2 linked regions of the Arabidopsis thaliana genome follow. The protein of the gene in region 1 interacts with the protein of each later gene in a pairwise test. Each region holds a gene or a part of one and is shown on either strand. Other genes may lie near its edges.

Region 1 (3,576 bases):
AGCTACATGAAATCCAACCCAAAGACCTCAGGTGCTGATCTTCAAACGCTTGCAAATATCACATTTGGTTCTGCACAAACAAGTGCATCAGAAGGTTTCAGGAAAATTCAATCTCTAGTCAAGACAGCAACCAACCCCACTATGAAGAAAGCATACACCTCATGTGTACAACATTATAAGAGTGCAATAAGCAGTCTCAATGATGCTAAGCAGAGCCTGGCGTCAGGCGATGGCAAAGGGTTGAACATTAAGGTTTCAGCAGCTATGGAAGGACCTTCAACATGTGAACAAGACATGGCGGATTTCAAAGTTGATCCTTCAGCTGTGAAGAACAGTGGTGATTTTCAGAATATTTGTGGCATTGTACTTGTCATCTCAAACATGATGTGAGAGTGGGATTGATTCAATCTCCCTTCATCATACTCATTAGACGATTACATTAAACAGTAATGCATAAATGTTACATATATAATCAAAGAACTTTTTTTCTCCAACCCACACATCAACAAGAACCTGGTTTCTTTTCAACTTGTTATTCCATATAACTCAACTCTATTGATAAAAGAAACTAAGAGACAACAACTAGTAATAGACTTATAACAAAGAGGAGTCTGAAATCAAACACTCTTAATAAACTCATGATCTTTTTACAGATCAAGTATAATACAACAGAAGGAAACAAACAAACAAACAAAAAAGAGAGAAATTCACAGAGAAACATGAGAACAATGCAGGAAAACTCAAAAGGAATATACTTTATTCAACATACAAGATGCATACCCGAGAAAAAGATCAATGATGAAAATGCTGCTACAAGATAATTAGAGAGAGACAGAGGTAGGCTTGTAGTCAATAACCAAAACTTTATCCAAGCTGCCAAGGAAGATGGTGGCGAATTCAACGTGAGCAGGATGAGCAATGTACTCTGCAACAGCTTCTTTACTCTCAAATGTGGATTCAAAGATGTGTGTGTAACCTTGATGCAGATTCTCAATGCTCACATCTTTTCCCCTAAAATTATACAGATCCAATAATTCAATAAGACAAGAGCAGATTCGTCGATTTAGTTGATTTAACTTTTCAAAAGATCATCAATGGAGATGGATTCTCTCTGAGGGAAATTAGATCAACACTAGGAAGGTCATGAATTTCCCCAAATTGCTTAGTTTTACATAATCATATTGAGTTGATGGAAGTGTTTTTCGGATCTCGAGCATATGTCTAACACTAGGAAGCAATTCAGAATCCAAATTTACTAACCAGTGGAAAGCTTTCATAGGTTCGATGAGATTGACGAGATTGGCGTAACCTTTGATGAGCTCTTCGATTTTCTCAGGACTAACCCCATCTTTGAAACTAGCAAGCAATACGTGCTTCACAGGTCCCTTTGCTTCCTCCATTTTTGATCCTTATCCCCTGCGAATGCAAATCTCCACTATTCCACTTATCAGCTCTCTAAAGTCTTAACTAAAAATGGACGGTCGAGATCTTTGATTAAAAGAGCGGATTTGCGACGTGCAAATACGATCGTCGGATTATTGTTTTCGTTCCAAAAAATTAAATAAAACGTCCTCAGATATAAACATTACCAGATGCTCCTGGTATACTCTGTATTGAATCTTCTTCTTTTTTTTTTCTTTTCTGTGCAAATTGAATTGAAGCTTTTTTAATTTATAAAGTGTTTGTAACAATTATGTTTACTTGATTAATCATGATAAGTGCGACAAAAAATGTATATAGAGATATTCTTACCACGGTGATAATAGAGTTGGACTGTCCAGCCGCACTTAACGCCGTTTTGCAGCCGTCCAAATAGCCTTTCTATAGAAATTGGTTAACACAAATCCATGAGATTGTTAGTGCATTTGAATCTTGTACATTCCGTCATATTGCCACAAACGCAAATCTGATCGCGCGTTCCATTTCTTGGGAGTGTGATTCAAGACAGAAGGTTTCAGTCTAAGTTTTACTTAGCACTTGGAGAGCCTTCATGACTTCACAATCAAGTGTCTAAGGAAAGTAAAGTTTAAATTTCATTTTGTATTTCTCGTTATTTTTCTGTCATTTTGTTTCTGTTTTAATAATTATCATATGACAAAAAAAAAAAAAAAAGGATATTCTTACCACTAAGTCACTAAAATGCATCTTTTTATAGAAGATATATGGTATGATGCAAATAAGTATCAAAATAATCATCTATGTTCTGTGTAACATGCATTAATTAAGCAAAATAATTTACAGCATTTAAGTTCCTCTTGAGACCAGTCTTATTTACCATTTCTTTTATTGAATTTTTAACCCAAGACTAACTCTCAGGAGCTTCCAAATAAAGACTTCCCTGTAATCACTTTTTTTTTTTTGTCACACTTTTTGAAAGCGAATACCCGAGAGCTGCAAATGAAACCCATTAGTCAAGTAATCTCTACTACATGTTCTCCTTCTAGATCCGTCTCTTAGATGCTTAGAGCCAACAAGCCTGCCTCAGTCTACAGGTTACCCGGTTTATACCATAACGAGGAATGCTAGAAAAAAGGGTGTCAATTTGGGGCCATTGAAGTCTGTGTTTAAGGCAGGAAGCTATTCCATCAGCTCAGATCAAAACCCGCTTCTGCGCTTATGGCGTACATCAATTTGGTCTCAAGTAGCTCTTTGCTGCATCATTAACAACAAGACATGCTTTATTTGCTTTTTCCAATTACAACACCAAGAGAAGCTATTTGGCAACAAAACAAGTCTCTTAGCTAAGCAAAACCAAAGAGTTTGTGTTATGAGAGGACAAACCTTTGATAGGGCGGAAGCTTAAGAAGATTCATACAAGTGGCTGATGTCGGTAGTCTATCAACTGATTCATTACTCGCACTACCGGCAGCCCTGATACACATTCCATCGAGGATGGATATTTTATGATTCTATTGTCCAGGGCCCATCAAAAGTCAAAACGATTGTGAGTCTGTGTATATTACCTCTGTATGCAGAATGCAGGTTCCAAGTATTTGAAACCCAGCAGTGGTCCTCGTGAGCAGCCTGTCACAAACCTGAAATTGAAAAATAGAGGTACCTCTTAGTTCCCTTAGAAAATTCATAGACTCCGGTAAATCATTGCGTACACAGACTGTAGTAGTAACTGCAAAGTTTGCTTACTTTAAGAACTTCTTCTGGTTTTCAGTTGAGAAGCTTTTCATAACTTCCCAGAACATATCGATCACATAATGTCCCTGTCAAGTGTCAACAACATAGCGATATAATCATATATAACAATACTCCAAAAGTGTCCCTACACTAATTCACAATGGCATTTCGGCTAACAGTGAAGAACCACTCACCGCGTGGTAGCCTCCAGCATAATTAGTGTTGTTTCGCAAGTCGTCTATATCCAAACTATCAACTGAACCAGATATGAGAACCTGCAACCAAAGCCCACAAAGGTAAAATTTCTCTCTTCATGCTCCTCGAGGGAACAACTAACAAAGCAAGTATAATTATACACTTAATTGGCACCTGAAGCTCATGTTCATTGAACATGTCGATCCATTCTTTCGGAATGAGTTGCTGAAACCCCCTCAAGAAATGAGAACT
Region 2 (3,308 bases), on another chromosome or scaffold:
GGCTCCTCTCATTTTTACTTTTGATCTTTCTTCGCTAGACAGCTTTAATCATCTGTGTTCCTCTCTTTACTTTACAGTTAAAGGAGTACATTGATGACACTGAAGATTTCATTAACATTCAACTGGTAATACCTCAAAATTCCATCTTCCACAGCTGATATTAATCCAGATTGAGAATGCACAAGAGTCATGCTGAAAACCTCTTCAATATCTGCAGGATAATGTGCGGAATCAGCTGATCCAGTTCGAGTTGCTTCTGACGACTGCAACGTTTGTTGTAGCCATATTTGGGGTCGTTGCTGGGATCTTTGGGATGAACTTTGAGATAGACTTCTTCAATCAGCCAGGTGCATTCAGATGGGTACTCATAATTACTGGAGTATGTGGCTTTGTGATATTTTCGGCATTCGTCTGGTTCTTCAAGTACAGAAGACTCATGCCTCTATAAGAAGAGAGACATGAATGTGCTCCCCAGAAAGTAGACATCAACTTATATTGTTATGTTGCTTACAGATATTAATGATTTGTTTCCTTTACACAATGGAATCTTGGGAATTTTTATCATAGGCATTGTCAATCCAAATGTGATAGAATCTTTGATCTTTTTATTAAAAAACGGATAACCAAACATGGTGCATGAAAATGAGAATGATTTTGAATCTAAATCACAAAAAAGACTCAGATTTTGACTAAGTTTTAACTTGTGTGGGAAAATGAGTACGAGATAACAGTGTGCAAATGACTCAATCCTTCAGACAGACTACTTGTTAGCTGATGAAGACGATGAGAGGCGTGCTTTTCGAGCTTTATCGGCCTTGTCCATGTAATCTTGGTGAGATTGATGCTTTGACCCTAAAAGAAACCAAAGAACTTCAACCAATTAGCCCAAACAGAGTCAACACTATAGGATGTAACCAAAAGCAGATGTAAGAGATATACAGATTCAGGTCCTATGGGAATGTTAGAATGAAACAATGTGATCCATTTCCATATATACTGAGAAACCATTTACTCACTATGTCATGTTTCTCATTTTGCAAGAAAACCAAAATCAGAATCTAATTGCAATCAAAATCCTCCAATTTCATCTTCTACCAATTACCCTTTCAATCCCCAAGAAGGGATTTGGTTATACAATTATTAAACGATGAGAGAGAGATCGGACCTTGAGTCATCAAATACCAAGGAACTCCGAAGATGATGGTGACGATTCCGATCCCGACCAAGACGTGCTTCTTTTCACCACTGTAAACGTAATGTTCCATTTTAGCTCTGAATCCTCCGCCTCCGGCCATACTTGCAGGACCACCGTTGGTCTTCGTCTCATTTCCCATTTCTCAGATCTCTCTTTTTTACTTTTCCTTTCCGATCAACAGCACACAAGGTTTATCCATCAGAGGTTTTAGTACCATGTATAAGTGGGCCTTATTATGGCCCATCAACATAAGATTTCCTTTTTATTGAATAACATTTTAAACCCCATATTTTGTTACATATTAGTGTAGAAGCGTGATAACTTTCTGACATTACAGTTTCACCAAAAAATACGCGGTAAATTCGCTACTCATCGAAAGCCAATAAAGAGAGTGAATTAGATAGAAGAGAAGAGAGCTATAATAACTCTTCGCGCCTCGTCAAAATACGCGGTAAATACGCTCCGCATCAAAAGTTAGTTAGTGTATGATTATGGTAACCAACTTTCACAACGGTCCAATCTAAAGGAGTATTCAATCATTCATCCGTCATCTATGGTACTAAGTAGGAACCCTCAATTTCTTCATTCTCAAGTTTCTTCAAGCCCTAGATTTTCCTTAATCATTCATACACTTTCCCACATTTATTACAAATCACTTTAAGTATTTGTTGCCGATCCTTAATTAGCTCTTTTCCAGTTTTTATTTCATATAATTGAGATCTGTTGTGATGTTGTTAGGTTAATTTTTGCATGAAGCTTATGATTGTTTCTCAGAATAATGTACAAATCCCAATACATAAGCGGCCAAAGAGAAAAATTCGTTAGGTAAGAAAATCAAAAGATCGCAATATTTTTCTTTGTTTTCTTCAGATCTATGAATGACATTTAACTTATAATTACAGGTTAGATGATATAGATTCAAGTTCTTCTCCTGCGACTGGAATGATGATGCAGAGAAACTGTTTCGGATTTAACCTAAAGAACCGAGGAGGTGAAAAGAAGAAAGCATCCAAATCTTTCAGGGAAGGAGTTAAAAAAATCAGATCAGAAGGTCTAATAACCATCGGTAAATCCGTTACAAGAGCGGTTTTTCCAGAAGACTTAAGAATAACAGAGAAGAAAATCTTTGATCCTCAAGACAAAACACTTCTCGTATGGAACAGATTGTTCGTCATTTCGTGTATTTTAGCTGTCTCTGTTGATCCTTTGTTCTTCTATCTTCCCATTGTCGATAATTCCGGAAGCAGCTGTATAGGGATTGATACGAAACTAGCTGTTACAACGACGACTCTTAGAACCATTGTTGACGTTTTTTACTTAACTAGAATGGCTCTTCAGTTTCGTACAGCTTATATAGCTCCTTCTTCTCGTGTGTTTGGTCGTGGTGAGCTTGTGATTGATCCTGCAAAGATCGCTGAACGCTATTTAACCCGTTATTTCGTCGTCGATTTTCTTGCAGTGCTGCCTTTACCGCAGGTAAAACAGAGTGAAAAGATCCTTTGATGGTTACTAAAAATATTGGACTTTTGGGATTGATTATGATGTTTTGTGTGGATATTACAGATTGCAGTGTGGAAGTTTCTTCACGGGTCTAAAGGATCGGATGTGTTACCAACGAAAACGGCATTGTTGAACATTGTAATTGTGCAGTATATTCCGAGATTCGTGAGGTTTATTCCGTTAACATCAGAGTTGAAGAAAACTGCAGGAGCTTTTGCCGAAGGAGCTTGGGCTGGTGCTGCTTATTATCTTCTCTGGTATATGCTTGCAAGCCACGTAAGCGTTTCTATGTATATATGACTCTTCTTAATTAGTGTTTTGAGACATTTATTCATCATTGGTCACTTTCTGACTTTACAAACACATTTTGACAGATAACTGGAGCGTTTTGGTACATGTTGTCAGTGGAGCGTAACGATACTTGTTGGAGATTTGCGTGTAAAGTTCAGCCAGATCCGCGACTCTGTGTTCAGATTCTGTATTGTGGGACTAAATTTGTGAGCAGTGGAGAAACTGAATGGATCAAAACAGTCCCTGAGCTTCTTAAGAGCAATTGTTCTGCTAAAGCAGATGATTCAAAGTTTAACTATGGGATATACGGTCAGGCTATATC

What was found. The genes of interacting proteins can lie anywhere in the genome.
Region 2: the proteins of HS1 (region 1) and AT1G16000 interact in a protein complementation assay, tested with the Arabidopsis thaliana proteins (one large-scale study listed by BioGRID).

What each region holds. Positions count from the first base shown.
Region 1 is NC_003074.8:5,880,142-5,883,717, reverse strand, and holds HS1 (heat stable protein 1), read right to left. Parts: upstream 1,800-3,576; 5' UTR 1,753-1,799; intron 1,654-1,752; exon of another isoform or gene 1,642-1,653; 5' UTR 1,401-1,641; coding exon 1,261-1,400; intron 1,012-1,260; coding exon 822-1,011; 3' UTR 518-821; downstream 1-517. Other genes in the region: PMEI2 (pectin methylesterase inhibitor 2), read left to right, coding at 1-390; UPL6 (ubiquitin protein ligase 6), read right to left, coding at 2,586-2,652, 2,782-2,871, 2,964-3,035, 3,142-3,215, 3,324-3,404, 3,499-3,576.
Region 2 is NC_003070.9:5,492,602-5,495,909, reverse strand, and holds AT1G16000 (GAG1At protein), read right to left. Parts: upstream 1,378-3,308; 5' UTR 1,335-1,377; coding exon 1,166-1,334; intron 853-1,165; coding exon 761-852; 3' UTR 551-760; downstream 1-550. Other genes in the region: MGT2 (magnesium transporter 2), read left to right, coding at 78-125, 218-448; CNGC7 (cyclic nucleotide gated channel 7), read left to right, coding at 1,974-2,020, 2,098-2,671, 2,759-2,971, 3,070-3,308.